Oryzias latipes: one gene and its partner. The protein of the gene in region 1 interacts with the protein of each later gene in a biochemical or structural test. Links are inferred from orthologs where the notes say so. Each region holds a gene or a part of one and is shown on either strand. Other genes may lie near its edges.

What was found.
Region 2: the proteins of cflar (region 1) and dedd2 form a complex in vitro, tested with the Homo sapiens proteins (2 studies listed by BioGRID). The link is inferred for Oryzias latipes from reciprocal best matches to the Homo sapiens genes CFLAR and DEDD2.

The regions. Positions count from the first base shown.
Region 1 is NC_019879.2:19,821,621-19,825,867, reverse strand, and holds the start of cflar (CASP8 and FADD-like apoptosis regulator), read left to right. Parts: upstream 1-1,344; 5' UTR 1,345-1,606; coding exon 1,607-1,908; intron 1,909-1,992; coding exon 1,993-2,095; intron 2,096-2,229; coding exon 2,230-2,365; intron 2,366-3,266; coding exon 3,267-3,316; intron 3,317-3,403; coding exon 3,404-3,434; intron 3,435-3,641; coding exon 3,642-3,688; intron 3,689-3,783; coding exon 3,784-3,862; intron 3,863-4,247. UniProt on the Homo sapiens protein: Apoptosis regulator protein which may function as a crucial link between cell survival and cell death pathways in mammalian cells. Acts as an inhibitor of TNFRSF6 mediated apoptosis.
Region 2 is NC_019874.2:20,936,724-20,941,247, forward strand, and holds the start of dedd2 (DNA-binding death effector domain-containing protein 2), read left to right. Parts: upstream 1-1,699; 5' UTR 1,700-1,788; exon of another isoform or gene 1,789-1,789; intron 1,790-2,243; exon of another isoform or gene 2,244-2,266; intron 2,267-2,952; exon of another isoform or gene 2,953-2,956; 5' UTR 2,957-2,995; coding exon 2,996-3,467; intron 3,468-3,551; coding exon 3,552-3,674; intron 3,675-3,930; coding exon 3,931-4,071; intron 4,072-4,524. Other genes in the region: rabac1 (prenylated Rab acceptor protein 1), read right to left, coding at 1-17. UniProt on the Homo sapiens protein: May play a critical role in death receptor-induced apoptosis and may target CASP8 and CASP10 to the nucleus. May regulate degradation of intermediate filaments during apoptosis.

The DNA of each region.
Region 1 (4,247 bases):
ATAAAACAATTTTCATTTATTAATAGCAGAAACGTTATGAGGAGTTCGACTGGAAGTCACTCCGTACAGATACATGATGTATCTCGTAATACAAACAATAAACTAAGATATTTACATTTCACTGGGAAAACGAGGAACCTCGTTGTCCTGAGCTTCAAAAGCTAACCAGTTTTCCGAAATGAAAGCTGTTGTTAGCCAGTTGATTAAGGCTAGCTAACGTTTTTTCATATTTGCCACGACGGCTCTAACCTGTGCACCGAGCTTAGCGTCACCACGTTAGCAGAGCTTGCAGCCGCTAACATGCCTCTTCTTGTAAGCAGCTGGCGGGCATCTTCGTCTTTTTCTTTTTCTTTTTTTAACAGTCGTGACCAGGCCAAACCCACTTTTAAAAAGCCAGGCAACATCAATGGGACATGGTGGTCTCCGGTTAAATGTATGCTCCACTTGGCGACACTGATATTGATAGCCCTCTAGTTTTGCACATAGACACCAACACAAGTTACAACCTGTACTGATAATATTCCAAGTCAGTCCCAACCTTAAAGTCACAAAATGAATTTCTCTCAGCCACGAAAATGATACTCACTTTATCAACGGATACATGTGGGACAGTAACCGAAACGTCTGTACATGAACTAAGCGGGGTCACTATTTTCCCTGGGTGGTCACTCGGCTTTCGAAGGTGTCTTTCAGCCCTACCGTTTGCTGTGAACCGCACAGGTTTAAGTCATCTCCCAACACTGCAAGGATGCCGAACCAGGGCGCAACGCGATTGGCTGGGCTTGGCGGACATGGTTGCTGATGCGTTCAAAACAATTGGAAAACACACAGTCGTTGGTTTGGTACATCGTGTGACTAAAATCATCTTCGTGCTAAGGTAGAAATCATTAAGGCAAATATAAAAAATAAAATTGAACTTGGTTTATGTAAAATCATCCGACAAATCTATATCCAAATAATATATATATGTAAAATCTATGGATCAAATAAAATAATACAAATAACAGGATTTTGCTCCATGAAGTACATCAAATATGCACTTGCATAGCAAAAACCATGTTGCTTATTTGATTGTTCTTAATAATTATGTAAGAAAAATGCTAATATATGTCTTATTTGCTTTTAACATTAACTTAATTTGTGACATATACGTGTGACATTTTTCTGAAATAATATAGATATTTATAAGATAATTGTGTTGGTTTTGAAGATGAAAAAATAAAGACCATTATTTCTATAGCTTTAAAAAAATCTTCTTCTTTTTTTTAAGTTTCAGTTTCAATTTCGTCACGACGGTACTTTCCGGACTGGGGGTTACTTCTTAAAAGCTCGTAACAAGCCTACGTTTATATGTAGGCTCTATGAGACTCCGTCTGTTTCTTTTCTACTTAATGTTTTTACAGCTGAAGGCTACTTTTATTTTTACGTTAAACCAGGGGACTTCCGGTTATCGCGTTTGGATGTTTATGGACTTTGAGCTGATAGGAATTATCATAAACGACCGTGGTTTGATCTAGCCCCGTTAAATTAGTCAGTCTACAGTTTAGATACATTTTTTTAAATACTCTATTATTCTGTTTTCCGTCACCAGGCTGCTTCCGTACCGATGGCTGCTTTGGATCATCAACGTAATCATCTTTACTACATCAACAAAATAGTTGAGGCGCTGAGTAGTAGTGAATGCAGAAAGTTGCTTTTCCTGTGTGACAGCACGAGCGCAGACAGTAGTGTACAGTCCGTGAGGGAGACTCTAAAACTCCAAGTTACTTGCCACGACAATGCCAGCCAGTTCCTAGCAGAGGTCATTTGGCGCATGGGCAGATATGACATTTTGAAGGAGCTCTTTACTCTGAGCAGGAATGCAGTAGAACAGACTCTGGAAAACAGACAAGTTCTCTCAAAATTCAGGTAAAACCTTTAGTGTCTTGTTTTATGCATGCCTGCTTGTTTGTTAGGTAATTCTTTATTTTATTTTTTTGTTTGTTTTTGCAGAGTACTGATGGCCAACATAAGTGAAGATCTAGACACAGAAGACTTAGAACAGATATTGTTCTTATTAAGCACAACATTGCCACGTGAGAAAAGGGATGCAAAGGTAGAGAAGACGGATTTCCACTAGGTCAATAGACGTGAATGGAAAGTGTGAGTGCGTGTGTGGAAAACCTTTGTCATTATGCACTTTCACTCTGAAAAAGCTGTTGTTTTTCCCCCATTACTTTCCCACTGCAGAGTTTCTTGGACGTGATCGTTGAACTTGAGAAACTTGATTTAGTTTCCCCAGAGAGAGTGGACATGGTTGAGGAGTGCTTGAGGAACATTTGCAGGATCGACCTTGCCAAAAAAGTATCCACATATAAAAAGACAGGTACGGTATGCATTGTTATAGAAAAATTACTTGTGCTTAGTTTGAAATAGGAAGTTTGGGCTATGGGGAGAATGACTGATGGGAAACTAGGAAGTGGGAGAGTAAGAGGAAGTGTAAGAGGGAGGGTATTTAAAGACCCAATCTGAACATCTTTTAATTTATTTCATAAGCATTTCCAAGTGCTCTTTATTTAGTATTATGCAGTTTTTAGGCAAAATCAAAAAAAATCCATAATTTCTGCAGAGCGACAGGCATTTATTAGAAAACTCACCTCTGAGTGTGGGCGGGACGTTGGTGTGAAGTAAGCCCACCCTCCATACCCATCATCCATGTGTTACACTCTCACCCTCTAGCTCACATCCCCCAACACCCCCAACTTCACAATACCGGTGCAGCAAAAATGGCAAGCAATATTGGAGCTATCCAGCCGTACAGTTTTGAGTCAAACGTCAGCTCGGATGGAAAACAAAGACGTACATGGATCTATTTGTAGATGCATCCGAATTGCTGGGAGTATGGAGCTTGTGGCTTGCTGTAGTGGGTTTTACGTCAGAGCTACAAGCTTTTACCAACGGCATTTTTTCATCTGCTCCTGATTCACAATGATTTGAACAAAGAAATACTCAGCAACTCAACTTTCTTTAAATATGTCCTCCATCATGAGGACAATTTTCATTGTAGTAGGTCTATGAGAACCGGTAAATGAGCCGCGCTCTGTTTTTAAAACATCTAATTAATCAGTATTGACTATATTTATATATTAACAATGAGTCAAATACTTTTATACAAAGTTTTTTTTGATTGTTTTTGTTATAAACTAACAATAATTACTGATTTCACCTAAAAAAGAAACAATTTTCTTTAATTCTTTGTTACCAATGTTTGTTTATGCAATTTTCAGCTCAGAGATGTGACCATCATTCACCTCATCAGCAAAGTAGTAAAACCTCTGTAAGTAACACAACATTTCTTCAACATTTGTACTCTCATAATTGAATACTTTTGATAAAACATTTTCTTTTGTTGTGCCCTATTTAGGAAAGAAGGCAAGGAAAGGCCATAAACATAGGTGAGACACATGACAGCTAAATAATGTGTTTATGACAGAGATGTTGTTAGAACAACAAAATAGTCAAAGTCAAAACATGGACAGTGTCTAATTACAGTATTTTAGTGGGGCTTTTCAGTTACAACATTACAGTTGGAAAGCCCCAGAGTAAATGTAGGGTATTTGGGTTTGTATGCCCTTAATTATCATGTCACTCTCTCACAACAGTCAGAGAAAGCCCACCAACATCTGAATGCAGACAACCAAGCACTACGGTAAATTTCCACTCTAGTATTACCCTTTCTTGATCATTTCAACATGTTAAAACCACATAAAATGGTAATTTGTCAAATATTTGTTCACATTTCAGAGTCAGCTTGAGCAATACAGCTTGAACAGCAAGCCGAGAGGACTGTGTGTGATCATAGACTGTGTGGGTTTTGATCAAGGTGAGACACAAATACTTATGAGCATTAAAAAAAAGTTCTCTACACAAAAAGCAAGAATTGGAATGGTGCGTCTGTTTCCCAGTAGACATGTAACGGTTATTCTAAAAAGGTTGAATTTGTGGTTTCACTGAACAAACTTAAAAATTCCAGTTCAGTAAAAAAAGGAAATGAAAGAAAAATGTGTAGTTCCAGACAACATGAAACGCGAAAACAGCTGTCTTCAGGTTGGCTTCCTTCAAACGCCACTTTTTTTTTAAAAGTTATCTATATTAAATGGGAATTAGTCTTGGTAAGTTATTTTAGAGAAAACTACACATGCAAAAATTTTAGAAAATTGTTAGAATTCAAGTTAAAAAGCAAATAAAAACAAAATTACTGGCTTTTT
Region 2 (4,524 bases), on another chromosome or scaffold:
GGTACTCCAGATGGCATCTGCAAACCTTCTCCTGAAAATAAAAGAAAATAGAATAAATAAAATAAAAGAAATAGTCTTAAGATTTTTCCTTCACATACTTTTTTTTCCCCCTTCTTCGGATCAGCACAAGATAAATAGTCCAAAAACTGTGTGGAAAAATGGCCTTCCTTTATATGGAGATAGATGTTTTTTACGAGAGATGAAGTGGGATAAAAGAATATTAACGTTTTTGAGTTTGAGGTTGTTTAATGAAGAGCCTAAGTATTAATAATAATTATAGAAAATCATAAAATAGAAAATATATACATATGACTGAAGACATATACCCAAATACTACAATGGGTAACTGAGTAAACAAATGAACGGAAGATAGAAGCTCAGGAAAGATCTGACTCCTTTTCTTTTCCTTTTTTGCCTATTGTTTACTGTTAACATGCAGATAAGTGCATGCCAAGTTTGCATGTGGGATGTTGTTACATCATTGGGTTTGTCAAGTGGTTTAAAGATTTTGTTTTGTTTAGTTTCTCCATTTTGCTTCTAAAGTTAATTTAAAAAAAAAAAAAAGAAAAAAAAAGATTGTCTTATTGGAAGTTTGCATTTTTCCTCGTATTTTTCAATGTACAAACGATATGTATCCTTTATAAAACATGTCAGAATTTTTCTGGATTCTTCTTTATTTTCCCCTGTTTAAATGGGAAATAAAACACCATACACCATACAACCATACAATCTTTACGATTTTTGTAACACTCCTCGAGGTGCATCAAAAGCAAACTTAAATAAATAAATAAAAAAGGAAAAAGGAAAGGAAAACCTGTTTACTTTATTTTTTAAAGGTAAATAACAATTGATATATTTTATAAAATGTGTTTAAAATGGAGAAACAGCAGTAACTACAAAAGAAAAACTACATGATCACTAGTTTCCACATTATTCTTAAGAGCATAGAGGTTAGATTTTAATTCAAACTTGTTCCTGATTGGCCAGAAACATAGGAGCGGATCTCGTAAGTGGAAAATTTTTGTCAACAGGGCTTGGTCACTGCCACATCACTGACAAAGGCCGAGAACTGAGCCAGAAAACGACATTTTGAGCAAGTAAAAATCTTTTAAGGATCAAATTTGTCCATATGTGTCGAATTATAAGTGGAATAACTTTTATAAAATGAATACTACCTACTTCTTCGTGTCTCATGTTAAATCAAACTGATTGTACGAAGATCACAGTAATTTATAAACATTGAAATGAAAAGACATAAGATTTTACCTTCGTGATGTGTCAAATGTCAAACCTACAGACGATGTAGATACTTACAGACCAAGTTATGGATAAAAAGCCAAGTTGTTTTGTTGCTGTTGGTCCTCACGGATGTGATGTGGCTGAAGAAGAAGAAGAAGAAGAAAAGAACTTCCTACAACACCAATGCCGCACACTGCCCCCTGCTGGTTGCACCAAAGAACTCCCCAGTCTATGATGTTATTTTTTCCCTTACATTTAACCATATAAAAATATTTTATTCATTCCTCTATTTAACTTTGAAGTCGACAAGAAATCAAAAAACATTTTTAGTGCCAAAGTGACAGAGATTACTACCTTGATTCTTTTAGGAACAATCTGGGAACAATCGGTATGTTAAGTGTGGCAAAAACGTGACCTTACGTTATGAAACCCAGCCCGAGAGCTGTGATTGGTCAATTTACGACTCACGTCTAGCCACTGTCACGTCGCACGTTGCATTGTGGAAGTTGCTAGATCATCCAGCGTCAGGCAAGCTATCGCGGCTGAAAGGTGAGGTCTAATGCACTCTAGGAATATTCTCTTTGTGGAAAATGTAACCTAATAGTGTTTTAAAGGCGCGTGTTTAACGTTACGCTGTATTAGTTGACGCCTTAGCGTCTGCTAGACTAATAAGTTCAGCGGGATTCATCATCATGTCGTCGCACCGACCGTCGTTGAAACAAACAATAGACCGTCTTATTTGTCTCTAGAATTGTTTTTCTGCTAATTTTGCGTGGTGTTACGTGAAGTATAACTGCCAACGAGCTCCTGTGTGTGTGTTTTTAATCGAACAATTGAAGAGCTGTGTGTTTTGTATGTGTTGTCCCCCACCCTACTGATTACATAACTCTGTTCAGAGGAACGGTACCGAGTCGGTAAAGATAACATTAGCAATTGTAGCTAGGCATATATGACAGTAATTAAACACATCTCGATGCATTTCATTATAGGTGGTAGCTGCTTGCAAGTTTGAAGAAAATCTTAAATAGTGAGTGTTCGTTTGTGGCACACAATGTACACACAAAGACTTAACATGACAACTACTAGCTACAATTAAAATACCCACTCCGATGAAAATGAAAATTTAGCTTAGAATTGCATTTCTGAGTATTTCTTTATGCAAACTGATGTGAATTAGACGCAAAAAGCTGTTGCAAAAAAACGTGTAAGTGTGACGTAGAAGCTACTACACCAACCAAGCTCCCTCACTGCTCCATTCTGATGCTTCATTCTGACACATTTGGGCTTCATTTTCCTCGTCTGAGCTGCCATCTGGCTCAAAACTGTACGGTTGGATAGCTCCAATATTGTTCACAATTTTTGTTGCACCACTAATGTGCAGTGGAAGTTGTGATTGTGAGGGGCTGTAAGCGAGTGTGTAAAGGGATGGTGGTAAGGGGGGGCTAACTCCATGCCAGCAGTCCTGCCCACGACTCTGGGGGGTTAATTTCTAATTAACTCCTGCCGCTATGCAGAAACCTTCCTAGAAAACAACACGGGGAACGCTTTGAAAATATTTTAAAAGATGATCGGAGTGGGGCCTTCAAATTGTTACGTTTTTTAAATGAAATTATTAATTAAGGAACCTGATACCATTTGTTTGGTTTCAAGTTTCAAACATAAACATGGTTAAAGTAATTTTTTTGTGTTTGTTTTCTTTTTCCCCTAAACTCCACAGTTTTATTTGAGTGGGAAACTTGGAAAAAAGGGGTAAACCATGGCTTCAATGAATTATCCTGAATGCACACTGAAGAATTCCTTATACTGGGATGAAGCAGAGTGCCTTAACTACTATGGGATGATGTCTCTTCATGAGATGTTTGAAATAGTCGGAGCTCAGCTGACAGAGACCGACATTGAAGTGCTCTACTTTCTATTGAATGAAACCTACTCAGCCAAACACCCCCTAGATCCGGAAGGCTGGACAGTTAAACCCTCAGAGGACAGTCCAGAGGACCCGGGTGCCAGCCCAAGTCCACAGCTGTTAAAAGCGTGGAGGCGGTTGAAGCCGAAAGAATCGCAGCAGCCTTTAGTGGACTCAAAGCCCAAGAGTGGCCTTGAGCTGCTGCTGGAGCTGGAGAGGAGGGGACACCTCGGTGACGGGAACCTGGAACCTCTGCTGCAGCTGCTGAGAGTCCTCACCCGCCATGACCTGCTGCCTTTAGTGTCTCATAAAAGGAGGCGAACAGGTGTGGATTTCACTTTTACCACCTGTCTTATTAGTAGGTGTGATGTTCATTTCAGAATTACTCATTTTCTGTATTTCTTTTTAGCTTCTCCAGAAAGAATTGGAAGCAGATATGAATTAGACAGCGCAGAGTTGATCTCTGGGTTACATCACACTTGCCAGCAGACGGAGATGCCACTCCCATCTTTCACACAGCAATTAAACACAGGTAATTGCACAATTCTATAAATGGTAAACAATTTTTTGCACCTTTTTTTCTCTCCACTAAATATAAAAAAAGCACATTTTAATAACTAACTTGTTTTTGTTGCTCTTAAAATGTACATATTTTTTTTGCCTATTTAAAAACATTCTGCATTTAACAAAATTGATTAAAGGTTGTGCAGCAATGAAAGAAAAAAATACTATTGGAAACATGATTGTTTACTTGCAGGTCTTTTTAATTAATCCCTTTTTTTCTTCAGATATTCACTCTCCTGTGGCAGAGTCATCTACTAGGAGACGAAGGAGGAAGAGGGGGAATGGCTGGAGCCGTAAGTCCAAGAAAACAAGCCGACAGGTCCAGCCTCTGCCTCCGCCACCAGCACCACAAAAAGTGTCATGTGGTAAGGGCAACCTGCACACGTTAAAGTTGTTTCTGTTGTAATTGTCACCGGTTTAGTCCCTTTCTTTTTCATTTTTTTTCTCCCTATCAACTGATTTCTCACCTAACACAAAAGCTATTTGAGTCAGCCTCTTTAATATTTCACCAGTTCTCTGTAGTTTCTCTTGTGTCTTTAATACAAAACCTTTGTCCGTCTATGTCAAACCTCAGCATGTGTCATAATGTTTACAGTCTGAGTTCTATACACCTATGAGTGTTTCAACTATTTCAAACATTGTGTGAGAGCAGGGTTCATTTATTTATTACATGTTTGGAAAAAAGATACCCTTAACAGTGAGGAAAATGATTATAGTTTTGAATCAAACCATCACAATTATGGCAAAAAGCAGCAGACCATGCAAACACATTCACAAAGAGCACTCAAAGTTTGAATGGAAACAAATGATTTGCCCAT